3 linked regions of the Arabidopsis thaliana genome follow. The protein of the gene in region 1 interacts with the protein of each later gene in a pairwise test. Each region holds a gene or a part of one and is shown on either strand. Other genes may lie near its edges.

The links. Proteins that work in one complex are often made in the same cells at the same time.
Region 2: the proteins of AT3G48510 (region 1) and AT5G43520 interact in a two-hybrid assay, tested with the Arabidopsis thaliana proteins (one large-scale study listed by BioGRID).
Region 3: the proteins of AT3G48510 (region 1) and AT4G25160 interact in a two-hybrid assay, tested with the Arabidopsis thaliana proteins (one large-scale study listed by BioGRID).

The regions. Positions count from the first base shown.
Region 1 is NC_003074.8:17,965,273-17,972,303, forward strand, and holds AT3G48510 (AtIII18x5-like protein), read right to left. Parts: upstream 3,319-7,031; 5' UTR 3,181-3,318; coding exon 2,296-3,180; 3' UTR 2,082-2,295; downstream 1-2,081. Other genes in the region: PDE312 (Nucleic acid-binding, OB-fold-like protein), read left to right, coding at 1-136.
Region 2 is NC_003076.8:17,482,509-17,489,338, forward strand, and holds AT5G43520 (Cysteine/Histidine-rich C1 domain family protein), read right to left. Parts: upstream 3,802-6,830; 5' UTR 3,684-3,801; coding exon 2,931-3,683; 3' UTR 2,723-2,930; downstream 1-2,722. Other genes in the region: LURE1.4 (Putative membrane lipoprotein), read left to right, coding at 1,926-1,974, 2,070-2,293; LURE1.5 (Putative membrane lipoprotein), read left to right, coding at 5,641-5,689, 5,785-6,008; AT5G43530 (Helicase protein with RING/U-box domain-containing protein), read left to right, coding at 6,819-6,830.
Region 3 is NC_003075.7:12,900,458-12,910,502, forward strand, and holds AT4G25160 (U-box domain-containing protein kinase family protein), read right to left. Parts: upstream 7,140-10,045; 5' UTR 6,760-7,139; intron 6,246-6,759; 5' UTR 6,213-6,245; coding exon 6,014-6,212; intron 5,851-6,013; coding exon 5,729-5,850; intron 5,639-5,728; coding exon 5,517-5,638; intron 5,436-5,516; coding exon 5,257-5,435; intron 5,171-5,256; coding exon 4,755-5,170; intron 4,688-4,754; coding exon 4,586-4,687; intron 4,503-4,585; coding exon 4,074-4,502; intron 3,933-4,073; coding exon 3,174-3,932; intron 3,083-3,173; coding exon 2,903-3,082; 3' UTR 2,723-2,902; downstream 1-2,722. Other genes in the region: OLEO1 (oleosin 1), read left to right, coding at 41-393, 634-802; AT4G25150 (HAD superfamily, subfamily IIIB acid phosphatase), read right to left, coding at 1,279-1,456, 1,626-1,835, 2,031-2,425; AT4G25170 (Uncharacterized conserved protein (UCP012943)), read left to right, coding at 9,283-9,692, 9,956-10,000. UniProt on the Arabidopsis thaliana protein: Functions as an E3 ubiquitin ligase.

The sequences.
Region 1 (7,031 bases):
AACAGAGTCAGAGGAAGAAGAAGAGGATGACGATGATTTTGACGATTTTGACTATAGCATTCTGAGTGATGAGAGCAGTATCGGTTACTCGGAACAGCAACCTCTTGTTAACGGTACTCAAGTCTTGACAGACTGATGTTTAAAAGGAAAGTAAAAATAAGAAATTGTCGAGGTTGATTTATTTGAATTTTTGTCTGTTAGGTTTGATCTATTTGATAGTTTTTTTTTTTCATTTCTTCTTATCCCGGAGATAGTAAAATCAGTTTCTTATTAACTTAGCCAGACGTTTGGGATCTTGTAGTACACCGTTGAACGTTAGGAACGTGACGTTTTTTGTTTTTTCTATCAATCGTCGTCAGAGAAGGTAGTCTTGACACCGCAAAATACGCCTAAATGTTTCTCTTGTTTCTTCTGTTTGGGCTCCAAAACATCAACTTCTATCAAAAGGCTTTCTCGTTCGTACCTGGAATATCAAAAACCCTTGTCATCTCTCCGTGTATACCAAAAACTTCACACCATGTGTGCTCTTTGATGACAAAACTCTTAAGGCAAACTCTTACCAAAGCTACTCTGCAAGGTTGTACCTAATTCACAAAAATAATAGCATTAAACTTGTACAATGACATCAAAACTCTAAAGCAATAAGTTAGAGAACCAAATCTCCATAACATGGAAAATCAGTTTACTTGGGTCGGAGAGGGTATGGAGCTATCTCAGCTACGGAGAAGATGAAAACAGAGACGGTTTATTAGCCTGGAAGAGTTCGTTGAGAGCAGCAAAAGAAGTTATAAATATAAACCTTGAAGAGGAAGAGAGCGAGAGAAAAGAGGTGCTCCGAGTTGTATATGCTCGTTAAGGGTTTTCGCTCTTCTTTGTGGGCCTTAAAAGGCTAATAAGCTTCGGCCCAATTTTATTATTCTGTTTAAATCGTCCGTTGACTTGTTTTATTTTATACAACCAAAAACAATCTTCATACATATTGTTTACGGTTTAAGGATGGTGTTTGCAACGTCTCAGTACTCCGCTTCTGATCAGTTAGGTCATTAACAATAGTAACGGAAGATTAAGTAATACTAAAAGATTCTAACAAACAATTTACAAAAGAAAAGTCTCCTTAAAATTCTTAACTAAATTATTATACAATTTATGTCCAATGTAGGTAGACTTGTATTGCTATTTAAAACTCTTAATTTATTTATGTTTTGATTAATTTGATTATATATAACGAAAAATAAATTCAAAAAGATTCTAAAAAACAATTTATAAAAGAAAAGTCCCCGGCTAAACACTATTCATTTGACCCTTAAAAACTCGATTATAGTATCATACAATGTCTTTGATTTTAGTCTTGTAGCGCTATTTCTTATCCGGAGATGGTAAAATCAGTTTCTCATTAACTTAACGATTTGGAATTTGGTACACACCGTTGATTTGAATGTTTTGAATCTGACGTCTTCTTCTTTTTTTGTCAAAAAATGGAACTGATGTTTAAGTTCCAAAAACACAGCTACACATAGTTAAACATTGGTCCATGTGGCATTTCTATTATGGCATAGATGATATATAGATGTCCCACGTATCATTAGATATCGCACTTTTACCGCAGGTAGACTGTAGTACATTCAAAGCTGTAGTACAACATTTATTCCTCACCCTCCTTTTTTGTTTTCTTTTGCTCCGACGTATCACGTTTATTGGGTCGTTTACTTTCTTATATTCCTTGTTTCCTCAAAACGTGAGTGCCGACAAAAGAAAAGAAAATATCAAAATCAAAATGTGATGAGTTCGACTGAAATATCTCTTCAAGTGAGTAACTAGCTCAAAGTAAGACCGGTTCGCTCACACTTTTTTGTAGCAATCAAGATGGTATGTTTCACATTTTTTGGACCATTTTGGAATTTGCATGTTTGGACGATCACTCGGACCGTAATTTCCAACCGTCCTTGCCGTGAAATCTCACAACATGCGTCCAATATAGGTGGGAACCGCACCGACGATACGCATTAAATACTTACAAAATTTTCCTTCATTAATTATTTTTAAGCAACAAGCTTGAAATTTAGCATCACAAATGCGTCAAGAACAAACAAAAGAAAGATGCATTTTTTACAAAAATTCTTAAATAAAAAACTATTTAAAAAACAACCAAAAACAAAGAAGGCATAAGAACAAAAACGACATAAATATATGTTAAACCATTAGAAATCTAATTAGTTCTGAATCCATATTTTATCATTGGAGGACATATCATGTGTAATGTTCGTGCCCATAGTGACTAAAGTTGATCTAACGGTGTCAAAGGCACAAAGCGGCCTTAACGTCGAGCCTCCAAGCAAAACCACCACCGACGTCCATTCTCCACACGTCGCAAGGCACCGTGACTGAGCCTCTCTCACGATTTTGACACGTGTACTGGAGTTTCATTCTGCATGTGAATCCAGGGGACGTTAGCATCGGCCTCTCCCTCATCACCAACCGTACGATCACGTGAAAACTATCGCCGCTAGTTATCTCCGGTGCACCTTCTTCCACGGGAATAATATCCCTAGCCATCTTCCGATACGCGTCATTAGTCCACGTGACTCTCCCTGAACCGTCGGATATGAAACCAGGACACGTGTCTCTCACAAGATTCATCTTCCTTTCTTCATCTGACCTCCCTAAACCGTAACCGTCAATCCAAGCGTCCGTTACACGCTCCACCGTCATACACGACGAAATCACCACCGTCCTCTGCACAATCTCCGGTGTCTGATAAGCCGGTGTGAGCATCCCTCCGCCGTCTTTGAAACTCAACCATAACGGACCCTGCCGCTTCTGCTTCTCCACCGCCGCCTTAAGATCTATAGGTTTCTCCGGTAATAGAGAAAGAGTCACCGCATTAGCACTGCCGTGAACGACGGGTTTATCCGACGTCTTCCGCCGGGTGCACCTCTTGGCGTTACCACCATTCTCCTTCAGCTGATGACATTTCCTCTTTCTTCTACTAGCTGATCTAAAGGAAACGTCGGAGCTTCCGCCGCCGCTATCTCCGCTGGATACGGGATTTACTCCGCCGGGGCTGGCCGGTTTAGGAGCAATGGGACGAAATCGAAGCATGATGCGATCTGCTTTGGAAAGATCGTACGGTCCAGAGCCAATGGCGTACCTAGCTATGCAACACCCTCCCCTACCGTCCATTTTTTCTCGCTATCTATATCACTCTTGATATTTTTGTGTAAAGAATGTTTGAGAATTAGGTAAAAGCTTTACTTGAGCTGAGGAATACACTGAACAGAAATGGTAAGGGTTTTATAACGTCTGTGATCTGGACACGTGTTGGAGTCTATACTAGTTGTGACATGGACACGTGTCTTTGCCTGCACGCTTGTGGTTGTGTTGGGTCTAGAAGACAGTAGTAAAGGGTTTGGGTTGCACATGGAAAGTTATTCTCTCTTTTTGTTTTTTTGCCTAAGTTATTCTCCCAACTCTAACCATTAATTTTACCGTTCAGTAAAAAGAACTGTAACTTTATATATTAGTGTAGGAGAAAAAAAAGTTTGGTCTATGCTATGACAGGAGTGATAGTTCTTGTTGCAAGAAGAAAACATAGTTCTTGTTGAAGATTATGTATTTTGGGTCGAGTTTTTTTTTTGGTTAACTTCACATAAATCTATGCATATAATCTTTTTGATTATTTTTACCACTAACCCTCAACTCATTGCTTCGTTTTGGGGCAACGTCAAAAAAATGTTAGGCAAAAAGATAAAAAGGTATAATTTGGTTAAAATTAGTGACAACATCCCTATACAATTGTGAACGAACTAATAAGATTCTTGGACTTTCGTATATTTCCCAACCACACTCTTAAAACTAATCCATATACTATAAATTTAAGAATAACACAGTTTTTTTATTTAAGTTTTTTTTTTGTTATTTGCCAATCAAGTACTAATACAACCATATATAGAGTGGATCACTGGTCAGTAATTAGTTCCAAAATTTGCAAATTAATCTCCACTTACGAAGCGATTTACTGATGTAACAATAGTGAAGAGATGGCAAAATCAAGTTAAAATATCTGACAACAAAAATGGTTTTTATACGCACGAGTCACACGACTCAAAAGGTGATGAGTCGATCGATTATAATTATAATCATTGACCAAGTCTAAATTTAAAGCGAATGGCATCTTAATTAAATTTAAAGTGATTGTGACAAATTAGATCTGAAAGGGGACAAGATGATCTCATGCGTAAATGAACTTAAAGATTTGGTGACAAAAATAAAGATTAGTGCCAATGGAGTTAGGTAATCGTTATTGAAATATCAAGAAGGAATATTGATTAATCAAATATACTCCTATTGTACCTATCTATAGTAAATGATTATAACAAGTATAATCATCTATATCTGGTTTATAGGTGTTTCCTTAATTTAGCTATTAATATTAGAGGAATTCTTATGGACAAAACTTGGATACATTCATAATACATATATAAATTTTACTTGAGCTTCTGCTTCGAGATCTTCTTTTGAGGATAGACATATTCAAACAATAACGGATTTGACAAATAACAGTTATAGTTTGACCAGTAAATGAGTTTAATGGCTATTAGCGACTTGATATATATGTTTTACGAGTTCGAATCTAATTTTTGCAAATGGGAACAAAGAAAAAATTTAGGCCAGTGGACCTATGCCAAACAAAGAGTTTGATTGTGTAACTTTGTTTTCTCAAGAGATGGTAATTAGTTTCAATCTTCTATATGCGTCAGATACATATTACTGTCCAAACCATTTTAAATTTCTGATGAGCTAAAAACATTCTCAAAAAGACATTATTCAATCTGTTTGAAGTCTATTTTTTTGGGTAGAATAATAAACATCTCATAAGAGTTCAAACCAAAATCTTAGTCTCCAAAGATTTTTTGTTATCCGTCGGCTTAGTTTCTAGGATTATCTTGTTAATCGCCAGCTTTAGCTTTGTAAAACTCTATCTATAATCTATCTTTCAGTGAAAAAAACGAAAAAAAGGAGTTCAAACCAAAATCATATGCACCAACAGTTTAGTCTAAAATAATTTGGATGTTAAGTAATATTTAGATAATACGATTGACTGTATTATAGAATAACGGAATTGTATTAAATAAATTTTATGTAGAATGAAAAATAAAAAATCATTAAAAAAAATTAATTTCTATATGTCATAAAAAAGGTTCATTTAATCCCTTGGTTTATGAATGATAAAATGAGTGAATATAAACCAGTCAGAATTTATAGTTTTGGTTCGTAATATTTGTTGTCGTTTCATAACTTAGGTTCAAATCTGAGAGTGAGTTAATAAACAAAATTCCCAAATCTTAAACTTAGACTAGAGTTCTAACCAAACAAATCTTGTAAAAAACTATTTAATCTTAGATTTGGGATAGTAGTGTTCGAAGGTGCGAGGGAATCTAGAAAGTATTACGAGTGGTCCGTGTTGTGAACTTTGCATGAGAACACGCAAAAGGACACGTTAAGACAATTCATTAGCTTATGTTTATAATAATCTTTTTTTTTTTTTTTGCTAAGAATATGTTTATAATAATCATCACATAAACTATTAGTAGTTAACTTTATTTGTTTATTTAATCAAATGAAATTAACCAAAACCAGTTATACTAAGCATAAAGTACTCATCACTTTTTTATATGTTTTAAGTACAGCACATTTATCGCTGGAAGTGTTTTCACTCTAGAACCACAATCTTTTTTTCGACTAAGACATCAGTAGTCAAATATTCAAATCTAATTTGGTATAAGTCATTATAATTATGATTATGTTAGCATGTTTTCTTATAAATATCAGGTTTTAGAGTTGGTAACTCCGTCCACACTTTGGTTTTCCAATTTTTCTTGAAGTTTTTGAAATCTTGTTAGTTTGTGAACTACAAAACTCGGAAAAACAAAATTAAATATCATTAGGTTTAATATGGTTAGCTAGAATGATCTTAATTGTTTTTTTCAGTGGAGTTTTGGAATCAACATTTGGAATTGTAGTTCAAAAAGATTTTAATATCTTTAAAAAATAAAATAATAATATCATTTCGTACGGTTTAATATGTGGAATTAACATTTCATTCAAATATGAGTCGTGGACCATATATATTTGCATTCACGATCAATAGTTGCATTGCTTCTGCTTTGAGATAAACAGCATGGACTGATCAAGATGACTTCTTATTGGAAATGGTATGTGTTTTCAACATCACTAGATTTGTTTTTGGGTATCCAATGTTTTCTTTTTTCCGTTTACAACTATTTTTTCAGTCTAGTTTAGCAAAAAAAACTATTTTTCAGTTTTCATGTTTATAATAATTTAATTAGTAAATTGTTTGGATCATATAGTGTTAGACTTAGAAGTTTAATTTTTTCTTTGTACGTCTTGATTTTTTGGACTGATTAGCCATTTCAAATATATAATATAATTACTATGTTTGGGAAGAAAAAGAAAAAAAGTGATTCATTGATTGGTGGGCAAGGCTTGGTAGTTACTTGTATAAAATATAGTAACAAAAATGTTCACCCTCTTTTAATATGCCGTCTGGAACACGTGGCACGTCTCATATAGGTTGCCACAATACCTAGTACCTACCTACGCAATTTGAATATTTGGTATGTTCATAAGATAAGTTTCACAAATCTTATCAGTTCAATTAATAAAATATGATTCGATTCTTATAATTAATATTGAGTTGATCTTCCGATGAAGACAGTTGTTCTGAGGGCCATCTAATATTATATTCGCACTTCAAGATTAACTTCAAGATAGTTCTAAAATGTAAGGAAGCAATGTTATCTTTTATATGCGAGGAGGAAAGTTTTGAAAACCAAATTATACGGATCAAAGTTCTTATAAAACAGTAATTAATTAAATCTAAATTACACCAACAAAAGCTAATTATAACTCATTTATCTTTCTTGTTTCAGGAAAACGTAAATAAACTCCTAAATACTGAATAATAAACAATATTATTTGAGTATCGATTAATTGTGTACTGTGTACATGAG
Region 2 (6,830 bases), on another chromosome or scaffold:
GAACCAAGAACTTAAAATTGGGAGAATTGGTTACTGTTTTGATTGCGCAAGAGCTTGTATGAGACGGGGTAAGTATATTCGTACATGTAGTTTCGAAAGAAAACTTTGTCGTTGCAGTATTAGTGGTATTAAATAAGGCATTGTAACTTTGTTAAACATTAATAAAAAAACAAATTCTATTACTGTTTAATGTTCATCTATGCCCTTCTTTTTATAATAATGAACATGTATAATAATCTAACAGTTTTGTAGTGTGCACTAAACATGAAATTTATTGGGAAACATAAGTCCATGACAACTAAATAAATATTTGAAAAAAAAACATATTCAACATAACCAAGAAAACTGTTAGTTTTTTCTAAACATTTTACATTTAAACAAATTTCTTTAGCTCATCTTTACTATAAATCTATTTTATTATATAAAATATGGTTTTCAAAGTTTTGAAAGAGTCAAAGTTTTTAATCACCGTCACATTTCAACATAGATAAGGTTCCAATAAGTTTAATTATTTTGCATATTTACCTAAAATCTTCTGAGTTATGATAGACAAAATTAAAGAAAATAAATCTTCAAATCAGCTTATATTTTTTCTTCTTCTTCATATTGCAAAATAAACAACATACACACGAGTGTTTATGATTAAATCCACACAAATAAACAAGAACCAAACAAGAAAGAGTAATATATCTATTGTCTCAACTAATATACTTTGACATAATTGAGGTTTAAATTCTTCCATTAGTGGTGTTTTACAATTATTCTTGTGTCATGGTGTTTATTATTTCTTCCATATCACTATAAAGATAACTCCTTACAAAAGGGAAACGTTGCTAGTTAATGATAAAATTACCTATTAAAAAAAAACTTTTAAATCTATTCTCGGATCACCTAAGAGAGATAGAAACATGTATCATTGCACTAGTTGATTTGCTCTTTAATTTGGAAATTACTACATTTTTCGTTATTAACAACATAGAGCACTCAATAAAAAATCCTCAACATTAAGATTGTGAGAAAACATTGGAGATTTTAGTGGGCTGTGCAAACAAATTTGTAACCCTAACTAGACCAGCTATAATGAAATCTTTAGATATACTGATGTCAACAACTATCACAAAATAAAAATCTAGCCATGGGTGTTTTGTTCGAGTTCGGGTACCCGAAATATCGAATATTCTGATAAAACAATTGGTTAAATTTAAAAAAACTTTGCTTAAATTTTGATAAATATAACTAAGAATGTTCATATAATTTGGTTATTATTGGATATTTTAGTTATTTTGATCTAAAAAATAATTAATATTTTTGGATTTATAATTGTAATATTGGATCATTGGCTTACATCCAGTCTAAAAATAATTAATATTTTATATATATAATTATATAATGGTACCCATTCAGTTTGTGGTTTGGATTCGATTCTTCAGATATAGAAGTGTAGGATTCATTGCGATATTTCTTAGTGCTTGGTTTGGGGTTTAGTATATATATAATATAGAAATTATTGATCTTTTCAATCAAATTCTATTATATATAAGTATTAGTTCCTCGAATTAAGTATTTTAAATAAAATGTGGGTATCAATAGTAATTTTTAAAATCTAAAGTTTTAAACCGGTAATTGTATGCACTTATTAGATATATATTATTATTTATACCAATATATAAGATATTTTAATAACTAAATAATTATAATTTAAACATAAAAACAAACGAAATAAGTTACTGAACTTTCCTTTATAACAAAATAAAACGTTTAAATGAAATTAACTCTTTTATAACATATTTATCTACTGAGTCTATAAATATGACTAAATATTGTTTAAATAATCCACAGCAAAACAAAATAAAAACGAAATCCAAAACGATTCACAAAAACATTTCATATTTTTTTTTGTGATATTGGTTAATTTCTACCAAAAAATGAAGTGTCCTTCTATATTCTTAACTCTATTAATTTTTGTTTCTTCATGTAAGTCTAAATTATTTAATTAGGATAATGTGTCAGTATTATAATCATTACAAAAACTGTTTAAAAATTTGATATATCTTTTGAAAATTTGATAGGTACATCAATACTTATAAATGAATCTAGTGATGAACAGAGAATATATTCTTTCAGTCCAACAACAAGTCCTTTTGATCCACGCTCACTGAACCAAGAACTTAAAATTGGGAGAATTGGTTACTGTTTTGATTGCGCAAGAGCTTGTATGAGACGGGGTAAGTATATTCGTACATGTAGTTTTGAAAGAAAACTTTGTCGTTGCAGTATTAGTGATATTAAATAAGGCATTGTAACTTTGTTAAACATTAATAATAATAAAAAATATTGCTGTTTAATGTTCATCCATGTCCTTCTTTTTACAATAATGAACATGTATAATAATCTAACAGTTTTGTAGTGTGCATTAAACATGAAATTTATTGGGAAACATAAGTCCTTGACAAATAAAAAAATATTTTTGAAAAATTAAACTTATTCATTATAATCAAGGAAACTGTTAGTTTTTTTCTAAACATTTTACATTTAAACAAATTTATTTTGCTCATCTATACTGTAAATCTATTTTATTATATAAAATACGGGTTTGAAAGTTTTTTAAAGGGTCAAAGTTTTTAATCACCGTCACATCTCTAGATAAATAAGGTTCCAATATGTTTGATTATGTTACATATTTACCTAAACCTCTTCCGAGTTACGATAGAGAAAATGAAAGAAAACAAATCTTCAAATCAACTTAAATTTTTTCTTCTTCTTCATATTGCAAAATAAACAACTTACACACGAGTGTTTATGATTAAATCCACACAAATAAACAAGAACCAAACAAGAAAGAGTAATATATCTATTGTTTCTTTATTTTTGGAAACCATATTTCGCAAAGAAAAATATCAATATTCATAAATATATTCGTCCCTTCTTGATCACCAATAGTATCTACGTTTTGGTTCATCCCACAGATCAAGTGCAGCATTCCTCGCATCATTCTCAATACGTGCCTCTAGCTGCATAGCCGCCATCTCGTCTTGCGCCTTCATCAACGACTTTATCCTAGAAGCTGGAGAACTCGCTTCTCCTTCTTCGTCTTCATCTTCTTCTTCTTTCCCTTGGTCTTCATATGCCGCACATGAGTGTAGATGTGTTCCATAGTCACAATCCTTACAGTAATACATCCATAGATCTTCTGAAATAGTTTCATCACAAGCGCTGCAAGTGAAGTACGTGTCTTCACGTCCTTTACACGGTGTGCAATAAAGAAGAGTGAGTGGATGTTCATGATCTTCACGATCTACGGTTTCAGGGATAAACGCACATCCCACATGAAGACTGTAGTTGCAGTTTGAGCAATGGTAAGAAAATCCAGATCCGTATTGGTCACACGCGTCACACGTGTAGACAGACCGATCATCTGGTGGGGAATGAAGCAAGGTCAGAGGGTGGTCCTGGTGAGACTTGTTATTGGTCTCACTAGGAAGGTCGAAACATGACTTGTGTAAGAAGTAATCGCACTCTGACTTTATACATTTGAAAGCTTGCCCGGTCAGCTCTAGCTCGCAGCCAGAGCATGCGGTCTCATCCTCTTCTTTGGCTTTAAAGACACGCAGCGGATGGTTGTGACTTGGGTGCCTCACAGATTGGCGATTAACCGGTTTGGCCTTTGGTTTTCTTGAAGCCATTTAGTATGTTATTGATTTGTGTTTGGTTTTGGTTGTTTTGAGGGAGAAGGGTGTGGAACTTTATATACCAAAAACTGCAAGAGGACTTCATTATAATTGTAGGTTTAATGAGTATGCGTTTCGTTTTATTGATTATATTAATCAAGTTGTCATTGTATTATGCTATTTCGCTAATTATAAGGTTTGACATCTGTATAGGAGACTTTGACATTTGGGATTCAAAGTTTAGGAAATAAAAGTATTTAGACGCGCTTTGGTGTTTATTATTCTAAGATTAAGATAACTTGTAGAAATAAATATTCTAATTAACATCCGAGTTTTATAGCAACTAGGGCATATCCGCATAATATATATATGTGTGTGTGTAGAGAGGATAAGGTTTAATGAGGTCAACGTCTCTAAGTCTATGCTAATTATTATCTAATTTATCTTGTGCAACTTCCATTTGATAAGGTTAATTGGTTTAATATAGTTTTGAGTAATATATTGTCGGTTGTCTCCCCTCTTCTCACCAAAAAAAAAGGTTAATTGGTTAACCATAGTTTTAAGTCTTAAAACAAACGAAAACTTCTGTACAGATCAATTCCCTACCAAAAAAAAGAAAGCAACAAGAAAACAACATGCATAGATCAAATAATGTGAATATAAACATTCAAGTGGTGCTTCAAGTGATGATGTAGTGAGTATTCTATATAAACTACATGCAAGCATCATTATTTATTTATATTTTTCTTAAAACTGTATCCAGTTCAATCAAGGGAAATTAAGAAATGCTAATATATATGCAAGATCTAAATTTCAAATATGGTTGGAAATTTGATCATGTATTGGAATATTATTAAAAACTTTGACGGTTTAAAGATAGTGTCATCCCCGTTAGAAAAGTTTCAAATCTATGCAGTTTCAGGTATATATCTTTAAAAGTCGAAAAATTCTTTTTCTGATTTCGTTATACAAGAGTCTCCAAGTTTATCATCATTTATTACTAATTTAGATATTGAAGATGCTGCACAAAAAGTAAAAAAAATTGATTAATACTTAAGGGTTTTTGTCACTTAAATCTCTTAGTTAAGGGTTTTTTCATTAATAATATAGCTGAGGGCTTTAAAATGGATTTATCGATACTTGAGGGGTTTTTTTCGTTTAAATCTCAAAAACTTGTTTTTTTCTTTTTTTTTTGGTAAAACAATCTCAAAAACTTAATACCAAATCTTATTAATAATCAGGTTACAACTTAAAAGACTTTTGTTTATAAGACTTTGAAGAATAATTTGTTTCTATAGATAAAAACTGAAAGGTGTTTGTTCAAAAAAAAAAATGAAATAAGGTGATTTAAAGATTTTCTTATTAATAAATAATTTAAGCAATTTATAACTAAAAGATATACATATGTAGAAAGAGTTTGGATTGATTCGAGGCATATAAGAATTTAATTGATTTGGTCATCTTTAAGATCATAAGTATTAATAAGGAATCCAAAAGTGATTTAAGATTTTGTTAGAAAAGCAAGATAGGCATCATGAGTTAGTATATATATAATATAGAACTTTTTGATATTTTTAATCAAATTATATTATATATTTATTAGTTCCTCGAATTAAATATTTTAAATAAAATGTGGGCATCAATAGTAATTTTTGAAATCTAAAGTTTTAAACATGTAATTGTTTGCACTTATTAGATGTATATTACTATTTATACCAATATATAACAGATTTTAATAACTAAAAAATTATAATTTTAAAACAAAAACAAACGTAATATGTTACTAAATTTTACTTTATAACAAAATAAAACGTTTAACTGAAAATTAACTCTTTATATAACATATTTATCTACAGAGTCTATAAATATGACTAAATATTGCTTTAATACTCCAGAGCAAAACAAAAGAAAAACGATTCACAATAATATTTAATATATTTTCTTTGTGATATTGGTTAATTTCTACCAAGAAATGAAGTTGCCTATTATATTCTTAACTCTATTAATTTTTGTTTCTTCATGTAAGTTTAAATTATTTAATTAGGATAATGTGTCAGTATTATAATCATTACAAAAACTGTTTAAGAATTTGATATATCTTTTGAAAATTTGATAGGTACATCAGTACTTATAAATGGATCTAGTGATGAAGAGAGAACATATTCTTTCAGTCCAAGAGCAAGTCCTTTTGATCCACGCTCACTGAACCAAGAACTTAAAATTGGGAGAATTGGTTACTGTTTTGATTGCGCAAGAGCTTGTATGAGACGGGGTAAGTATATTCGTACATGTAGTTTTGAAAGAAAACTTTGTCGTTACAGTATTAGTGATATTAAATAAGGTATTGTAATTTTGTTAAACATTAATAAAAAACAAATTATATTACTGCTTAATGTTCATCCATGCCCTTCTTTTTACAATAATGAACATGTATAATAATCTAAAAATTTTATAGTGTGCACTTAACATAAAATTTATCTGGAAACATAAGTCATTGAAAAATTAAAAAAATGTTGAAGATGACATAATTGGCGCGGATCCTCATTTGTAATGACCAGTTAGAGTAAAAGAATCCAAACCTAAAATACAAATCAATAATCAAATATTGGATGTTATACAAGCTATGGAGCAATTAAAGAAGGCAACACGAATAAAATATTTGGGTCGAATCCAGTCCTTTGGATTGAGAAAACTGAAGCGAATTAACCGAAAACTCAGAAATCTAAAAACATTAACTGAATTTCAACAAAAAAAAAAAAAGAAAAAGGTGTTGGTAGATTTTATTTTTATTTAAAAATAGCAGATATCCGAACCAAATAATTTTTTATCATAATTTCGGTAAGATTTTTGAAAAAGCAAAAAAATCGATTAACCAAATTCGCTTACCTAATTTTAAGGTTTGCAAAAGGAAATACTCTAAATATCCTGCAAAGAGGCAAAATTTTACACATAAATTTGGTAAATTAACGGCGAGATTTACAGTAATTTCGGCTCCAAAAAACACCCCGCCAATTTTATTACCAAACCCATTCACTTCAATTCGCGCCAAAACTAGAATCCCAAAAGACCAATTCCTATTTAAAACCCCTACGCCCCCCACTCTCATCCTCCATTTTCGCCTCTCTCTTCCCTCTCCTCCTTTCTTCCCAAATGGCCATTGTT
Region 3 (10,045 bases), on another chromosome or scaffold:
ATTCAAAATCTCATTCTCTCTAGTAAACAAGAACAAAAAAATGGCGGATACAGCTAGAGGAACCCATCACGATATCATCGGCAGAGACCAGTACCCGATGATGGGCCGAGACCGAGACCAGTACCAGATGTCCGGACGAGGATCTGACTACTCCAAGTCTAGGCAGATTGCTAAAGCTGCAACTGCTGTCACAGCTGGTGGTTCCCTCCTTGTTCTCTCCAGCCTTACCCTTGTTGGAACTGTCATAGCTTTGACTGTTGCAACACCTCTGCTCGTTATCTTCAGCCCAATCCTTGTCCCGGCTCTCATCACAGTTGCACTCCTCATCACCGGTTTTCTTTCCTCTGGAGGGTTTGGCATTGCCGCTATAACCGTTTTCTCTTGGATTTACAAGTAAGCACACATTTATCATCTTACTTCATAATTTTGTGCAATATGTGCATGCATGTGTTGAGCCAGTAGCTTTGGATCAATTTTTTTGGTCGAATAACAAATGTAACAATAAGAAATTGCAAATTCTAGGGAACATTTGGTTAACTAAATACGAAATTTGACCTAGCTAGCTTGAATGTGTCTGTGTATATCATCTATATAGGTAAAATGCTTGGTATGATACCTATTGATTGTGAATAGGTACGCAACGGGAGAGCACCCACAGGGATCAGACAAGTTGGACAGTGCAAGGATGAAGTTGGGAAGCAAAGCTCAGGATCTGAAAGACAGAGCTCAGTACTACGGACAGCAACATACTGGTGGGGAACATGACCGTGACCGTACTCGTGGTGGCCAGCACACTACTTAAGTTACCCCACTGATGTCATCGTCATAGTCCAATAACTCCAATGTCGGGGAGTTAGTTTATGAGGAATAAAGTGTTTAGAATTTGATCAGGGGGAGATAATAAAAGCCGAGTTTGAATCTTTTTGTTATAAGTAATGTTTATGTGTGTTTCTATATGTTGTCAAATGGTACCATGTTTTTTTTCCTCTCTTTTTGTAACTTGCAAGTGTTGTGTTGTACTTTATTTGGCTTCTTTGTAAGTTGGTAACGGTGGTCTATATATGGAAAAGGTCTTGTTTTGTTAAACTTATGTTAGTTAACTGGATTCGTCTTTAACCACAAAAAGTTTTCAATAAGCTACAAATTTAGACACGCAAGCCGATGCAGTCATTAGTACATATATTTATTGCAAGTGATTACATGGCAACCCAAACTTCAAAAACAGTAGGTTGCTCCATTTAGTAACCTGAATTGCCTCCTGATTCTAGTTGATCCCCTTCAGGGGATATAATACATTGGATTTGGAAGTTTGAAGGATCTTTCTGACATTGCAGAACCCAACAAATCACTCCATTGGTCACCTGAATTGCCTCTGATCCTATACCCTTCTTTCACCATCTCCTCTCTCTTCTCTGACTTGTACATGGTCGCTGTTTTGTTCCGATCATCCAACGATCTATTAACATTAAGCAGCAAACCAAAGCGTCAATCATCCATTCAAACCCAAGATTACAATCCAAGATCAAACAACGTCATGTTACCACAACCATGGATCCAGATCAATAGTTGGTTAAAAACTGTATGAGCTACATTGTAATGGAGGTCCAAAAGTAGAGTATGCATACCTCAGAATAAGCTTGTCCCAGTTATGGAAACCGGCATTGCGCAGGTTTTCGACAGTGATAACCCGGTGGTTCTCTCTACGCCCTGTAAGCAAGATAACTTTGTACCCCAAATGTATAACCTTTTGGTAAAGCTTCAAGCTTGGTGCTATAGCAGGTGCTATCCCTTTCTCTACCCACATATCAAACTTTGAATGATCAAAAACTTCCAACCTGCAAATTCCCAAACAGAACAAACATTCACATTTATCATACATAGACAAACAAGCAAAGAAAAAGACAGACAACAACACATACCTCAAATCTTAACTAATTCGACATAGTAAAAAGACAAATCCATCTATACAATTATCAAGGAACCAACTTTTTATAGCAATGTTGTAAAATGAAAGATTTAAGATAAATTACCCACAACCGTGTTCCATGTAATAAGGAAGATTCGACAATAACGTCTCATCAATATCGAAAATCCAAATGTCTTTCCCGTCACCGTTAGATTCGAAGCTGCTCGCGTAAACCTTAGCTTCTTCGGAGACTCTCTCCACATCGACGACGTAACCTTCACCCATCAGGTAATCTTTCACGTAATCGGCGCATTCAGCTGGAATGGTTTTCCATGGAGCGAGATTGTTTGTCTCCGCCGCGAATCTCCAGCTCGTGCAATGTAGATTGACATTGTCGTTTATGTTCTTGAGCTGGGTTTCGAAGATCAATGGTCGCGCAATGAGATACGAGCTGGAGTTTTCATTGGAGAACGCCAGAGGAATCAAGGAGAAGAGAATGAGATTCACGAGAATCCGCATTGTATATCGCCGGAAACGCCGGGAGAAAAAAAGTTGAGATTTTTTCAATTGGGTCTTCAAGAGATTCAGGACATAAGCGAAATCCGAAGAAATATCAAAGAGAAGAGGAGATTTTCCATTCTCTAATGATGAGGAAGTGGATTATAAGAACCCTAGAAACAGTGAAACATTTCCTCTCAAGGTCCTTTTTTCAACGGAGAAATGAGGATTCTCGGAGAAAAGTTTCTGTTTCTTTTTGGGCAATGGAAAGGAAGAGAGACAAAAAAGACCAAAATACCAAAATGAAAAATAAAGGGCAATGGTTTTGTGTTCTTATTTGGAGGCAAATTAACGGATGGATCCGAATATTCGTTTACAAGATGATTAAGGTTTCGTTTCGGTTTATATTTTTGATTCAGCATGTGTGTAGTAGTAGTACAAAGCAAAACGTCTTGCCGTTTATATATCCACAAAAACGCTACACAGTTTGGCTTACTACTATCGTGTAGACCTCCATTCCATGATGGCTGTGTAAAGAGTATAATTGGGTAAAAGGTTCTTGCTATGCAACGGTGAATCCGTCATCGGCGATGTGTTGTGCTCCTTAAGCCACTCCTCTATCGCATGACGGTCGTATGTGTATCCGTCTGCTGCAACGCACGGCTCGTTCATCACGTCCTGCATTATACCACACAAGCTCACACATTTTCACCACAACACACTGAGATGAGATGTTTCAACATTGAACAAGGTTTTATATAGAGTTTACCTTAAGTAATGGGCAGATGAAATGAGTGGGAGGCTGTGTCGATACGCCGGAAAATGAGTTCCTTGCCTTTTCAGCTACTTTCTTTAGGTTTTCGAGCGCTGGAAGAATCTGATCTTTCAAATCAGGTCTATCTTTCCCGCGTAGCTCTGTACAACACAAAGCTAATGCGGCCAATTCCCGGGTTTCTTCAATCGGCCAGTTACCGGCTTTCTGATCTAAGATCTTAAGGAACTCATCATTACTATCCATTGCGCTCTCAACGAAATGTGTCAATGCAATAGCAGGTTTTGCTGTGAGAAGCTGAAGAAGAATCATTCCAAAGGAGTAGATATCTGATTTCGATGATATCCTTCCAGTGCGCTGATATTCCGGATCAATATAGCATAACGTTCCCACGGGGCTTGTTTGTTTGTATATAGTGAATTTAGTTGATAGAGGATCGACTTGAACCATCGTTGAGAGTCCCACGTCTCCAACTTTGCTGACAAAGTTGTGATCAAGTAAGATGTTTGCAGGTTTAAGATCACGGTGAATGATTGGTTTAGGCTTTGATTTGTGGAGGAAGACAAGAGCCGCTGCAACTTCCCAAGCAATCCTAAACCGCTCAAACCACGGGAGTGGCGGACTGTTGTTGACCTGGAAAAGTCTGTCCTCCAAGCTACCGTTTTCCATGTACTCATAAACTAAAGCACCTTGCTCCGGGCACGCTCCTAGAAGGAGAACCAAATGTGGATGCCTAATCTTGCTCAAGATTTCGAGCTGCAAATTAGAGAGGCCAGTGAGATAAATGTAGACTCTTATCCACAAGAATTGAAATTAAAATCAGAAAACTTCCATATAGTGAAAGGCACAAAATCTCAAACAAAGTTCCTTAAACCAAATTTGAGCTCACTTCCATACCTCTTGTTGGAATTGTTTGGAAAGTTGATTTTCAGCTGACTGCAAAACTTTGACAACTGCAGTTGTATGATGCAGATTACACTTGTAAACAGCTCCGTAAGCTCCCATTCCGATCTTCAGTTCTTCTGAGAATGATGAAGTGGCAGCCATAATTTCTTCCCAAGCAAAGTGCTGATATTGCAGCTGAGGAGACCCGAGAGTGCCCTCGAGCTTCTCTTTCTCTTTAGTATCACGTGCGGATTTCCTTTCGGCTTCTCTTCTCTGCGCAATTTCTCTCTCTGCTCTTTCTCTCATGCTCTCTGCATCTCTCCTTGCCTTCTCAAAATTCTGCTTTTCCTTTTCTGCTAACTCTCGAGCTTCATACTCCTTCAGCTTTAGCTCTTCAAGCTTTATGGCTTCTTCTAACCGACGTTGGTTAAGTTCACCAAGCTGAAACATTTTCAGAAAAGCATTGAGCACAATTTAATAAGTTTCATCAAATGCAAAGATATATGATATTATGAGGCCTTCACCTTTCGAGAAGCATCAAAGGTTTCGGTTTGAGCCACAGCATACATTTCTTGAACGTGTCTAAGCTCAGCTCTCAACTTCTCAACCTCAAAGTTTAGGTTTACCTGAACAAATAATCTTATATTATTCCGATTCACAAGACAATGTCGAAATTAAAACTCCATTTTATACCTGGTTGTCTGTATAGGATTGTTCACTTAGAGCATCAGACATGTTGGAAGCTTGTTGAGAAGCCCGAGAGTGTGTAGTATCGACACCCATGCCACTCCAACTAAACCTAGTACCAAAATTCCCGTATTCACGGTTGCTCGAAGAAGAACTCATAGCTTCTTTTCTCTCCTCATAATCTCTACGCCGAGGAGTCCAACGTGATGTAGTATCTGTGCTGCTTCTATTGATACTTGAAACATCTCTAGCTTCCTCTGCATCCAAAGACATGCACCTGGTTTCATCCGAGCCAACAGAACTCGTTTCCATTGGAACTGATGCCTGTCCTGCAATTGCAGGGAAATGTTGCATTCTCCTGACCGGAAGGGATAGAGGACGAGATTGAGAGTCATGCGCACTTGACATTACATCTGATGAATCTAGAAGAGAAAATGGGGTAACAGAATTAGATATACACACCATTTCTAGTAGAGTATTCACACAAATACATTGATGAGTCATGGACCTGAGGTGGGACCAGAAGAACCGCTTGAAGAATTTGTTCTCTCACTACCATCTTCTCTTATAGTAGCATTTCCGTCTGAGTCTGATGGTCGGACGCATGACAATTTACCTTTTGAAACAACATAGACTGTACAAAAGTTTGGCATCAAAGCTGATATCACCGAGCAAATATCAGCTTTCCTGGAATTTTCAAAACAGATTCATTGGTACACGGAATAGAAAGAACAAAGGTCGAAAGCTAGCAGCAGGGTGGTAGTGTACCTTGAGAAAAAACTACGGGATGAGCCTCCAATGACAATTCTGTCTATTGAATCCCGAGTCACTTCTTCAGCTATTGCGGCTGCCACATTATCTGATTCGATCACAAGAACTTCTACTGCAACCTTTCATTAAGGTAATTCAATGAGTTCATGTAACCTTGAAATTTTCATTAAAGAAGAGCGTAAGATATCTCATTATACCAAAGAAAATACCTTTCTCCGCACGAACAGTTTTGTGTAAGGTTTAAGCATTTCTTCAGACTGCCACAGTATTTCCTGTCTATATGCAGTTACTACATCATCTCGTACCTCGGAAATCGGGATTGCATTTCCCACTTGAGAAGGAGCAAGAAATGTACATCAGGCTTTTTATCAGTTACAATAAGTCTTGATTTTGTTTTACACAACAATACCAAATAGAAAAAAGGGAAACACAGGAAGAAGTCCTGAGTACAAGAAAGAAAGAAACAGAAATACAAGGCATAGTTGGAACTTTACTTGGTGTAGGTACAGAAGTAATCATTGGATGGATGTGAAGCAGCTTGAAGCCAACATTTCCTTCAGTAGCAAATTTTTCGATCGCCCATGTAACTACATATTTGCTTTTACTGCTCCCACTTAGAGCCACAACGACGGTACGAGATGGGGGAGGAGGAGGAGGAGGAGGAAGAGCAAGCTTGTCTGGTGATCTACTCATTGTTAATCTTTTGTGTTCTTGTTTCTATTGACCCTGCACACTACAACCATTTCAGACACTGCAAAACAATGTTCTAAAAAGAGTGTTTTGTTCCTAAAGTAGAGATAACATGAAAGAAAGGGAAAGCTAAAACTCTCCAGTCAGTGGGAATCAACAGACAGTAATTATATTTGAACTCACATAGCTGAATGTTGAATATCAACTCATCAAACCGAAAAGGCAAATAATAATAAGTATTGACAGAATCTAACGGAGGTATACCGATCATGAGATACTCTTAATAGCGTTGAAAGTCAAATGTCTCAGAGTCTAATTTGGACGACCAAAAGGATCGTAAAGCAACAACACTCAACGACCATCGAAGCTAACAAATAGCTAGCTTCTTATAAAGATAAAAAAAAAAACTCAAACTTTCCAATAAAAATGTCAACTTTGAGCACAATGCAATTGCAGAGAATTCGAAAGGTTATGAAACATTGATCAAGTCAATCAAAGGGACCATCTTCAGGGCATAGAGTTAAACAAGAAAACCAGAAATTGAACCTACCTGGTAAATAAAGGATGCGACTTTAGTCAAACCCAATACAAAAATTGAGAGAAGAAATGGTGGAAGCTTCCATTTCACAGAGCAATCAATTTCAGAAAATAAAGAGAGCAGCAGAAGAAGAAGATGAAGACCCACGTTGGTGCTGCTAATCTCAGATACAAACAATGGGTTCTTATAACCAGAGAATCTAAAAAAGATTTGAAAAGAAGCATCAAAAATAATAAGAAAATGAGACAAGTTGGTCATGTTAATGGTCAAAGGAGGATCAGTCCTGGGTATATACTCTTTTGTTCTCTCGCCTGAATTTTCTTCATTATCAGAGTGACAGAAGGAGAGTGTGTTCTAAAAGAAAGAAGTTTTCTCCAACCTTAGGCCTTGACTATTAGTTTAATCATAGTTTATCTCTTAATTCCCTAATTATTTGGTATTTAACTACATTCCTCAACGCCATTATTATATCGAGTTTGGCCATAGTTGCACGCATGATCTATGTCTTCCTCACGTCTTTTTGTCTCCTCCCCTTTATGCATAGTGGAGTGGTACAAGACTTTGGTAGAGTTCACCTACAACATTGGTTCGCATTTGAACCGTGATTTGGCCGGTTCAATTTAAACGCCGGTTTACGAGTTTTAACCTCTGGCTGATTAAGTAACCAATTTTGGCAAAATCCAAAGACGAAGGCAAAACTCTCTGGCTGATCAAGAGGATTCGATTAGGCTCTTTGACCTTGTCAACAAAGACCTTTTAGAATAAAAGCATTCAAAGTATCTATAGAAGCTAAAAACATTAAAAGTTACTTATGGAAAACGAATTGGCATGTCATTGTTCCTTGATGATTGATGATAAAAGGTGGAAAAAACTCGAATTTTAAACTTGTCTTGTCTCGACGCTAAAATCTTCATCCCCTGTAGTCATTCATCATGAAATATTCGATCAGGACACATTATTTTCAAATTTCAATTATCTAATATCTCTATAAACTTAAAATCTATTATTATTTTCTTATGTTGATTCTCCTTTTTTCCGTACGAAATGTCTTCCCACTTTCAAATTGGTTTTGGAGTTTTCATGCTCTTGAGTCTAGTATTCGTATTACTATTGTGTATTCTGAATGTAAACGACTAGTGTTCAGGTCAATATATCAATGATTATTTTCTCCATTCTCGTTTTGTTTGATGCAAAAACTAAAGAACAAATTCTGTCAAAAATATAAGAATATATATCAATATTGTGTTGCACTACATAATATTCTTTTTACTATGAATGGCCATCTTTTTTTAAGAAAAAAATGGACGAAAAAGGCAGAGTTTGTCCAATGAAAACTGGATAAATGACATTAGTAAATAGCAAATGACATATAATTTATTTATAACTTATTAATAGGAAATTTGCAAATGGGTATTTTCTTACAATTTGTTTCTTTTGTTGTGTGTGTGGTCAAGATCTTCTTTTAATACATGATCGAGTGTAGAAACTCTAATTATATGGCGATGATGAAATTTGATAGTGGAAGAACTTTTAAATATGATAATTTACAATGTTGAATTAGATACAAATATCTTAATTTATTAATGGCTGAAATGACTTGATTTATTAATTACATAAAGGTTTAAATGCAAAAGTAACCTTTGTGTACACATTTGTTTTGAATAGTTTACAAAGTTACTCTAAAATAATCTGCTTTGTAATATGAAAATATCATTTTTTGGTAAAGAATGATATTGAAAACATGTTTGCAAAACAACAGACTTACCTGTCAGATACATACACACATCAACTTAAACATAGTTTGACCACACTAAAAATGCCTATGTTCGTTGACATTCACGAACAAAAGAAAAACTATTTACCCATAAATTCCGTGAAATTTTTGTCTAACTATGATAAAAATCCATTATTTTGGATTAAAATTCAAATAAAATCCAATTGAAAACGCTACCGAAACTCAAAATGAAAAAGACCTACAAATATGTTTTGGTTTATATAAACCCATACATATGTTACACGGAAAAAAAGAAAACTACTATTACGTACTGGTTTTAGACTTTTAGGTTTTTAACCACATCCAAATTATCCAAATTGAATATGAAATTTTATGATTTGATCTATGTACACCTTTAGTTATAATAAAGCATAGTCTCTTTTTTTTTTATTATGTTTTTATTTCGTTTTTGGAAACTCATATGCTGACGTACCAAATAAATTTGGGATATATAATCCAGTATTGAAACAATTATTATTATAACAACAGTGGAGTAGTATTTTAATGCATTTAATGGAAAAAAAGAAAACAGAGTAAACGGATAAGCGTGTCGTGGAGAAGAAGGACCAAAGCAAAGTAAAGAAAGTCATATATTCCTGAAAATCTATAAAAGACATTTCGCATTTATCCACTTCCTCGATTCAATCAAAACTGCTTCAAGTAAAAAGCCTACGAAATAGCATCGGACCAAAAGACAAACTCACCGAGTAAACATACGCAACCTGTCGTGTAAGTAAAAACAATTTGATAGTGATCTCTCTATGTTTGGTGGAGGAAGAGGGCCTATGGGTGGCGGCGGAGGTATGTTACGCGCCGCCGGTCGTGCGATGACGAGGACCGGTGTAGCCAACGGTGGTATTCAAGATCCCTTTGCTTCTTCATCATCATCGTCCACGTCGTCTCCGGCTGGAAACGCCTCTGTTTCGCATGTCCAGAAACAGAGATCTTCTTCTTCTGGGTCGAATAATCTGACGTATTCCGCGGCTTCTGGGTTGTTGTTGAATCTTCCGGTGGCTGCAACCTCCGGATGGAGCGGCGGCGGTCCTTTTTCCTTTGTTAATTCTGGAGGTTATGATGATTTTGAGTGGGTTTCTGAGGAAGAAGATGATTCTCTGTTTGGCTCTGTTCCTTCTGTTGATGAAGTCCAAGATGCTGTTTCTGCTCTCCAGCAGTAATCTAATTTCTTCTCTTTTCTCATTTCACTTGAAAATGTGTGATTCTTTGGATGTGACTATTTGAGTTTGAGTCTTGTGGAAATTATTGTCATAAAATCTCATAAATTGATCACTTTTGAGTGGTAGGTATTAGTTCCCACGAGTTGTCTAAGTAATAGAGAGAGACACGAGAATTGTTATGGACTGCTATAGTGTCTCAAAGTTTAATTGTTTTCTTTCCTGATATGGATGGAATTGTCTTGATTTGATGATCTTGAAGAAGTTTGAAACTCTTTCAGCTGTGTCTCCGTGACCCCACTCAGTTGTTTTGTACTTAAAATACTTTCAAAAGTTGTTTGCTGGTTTATTC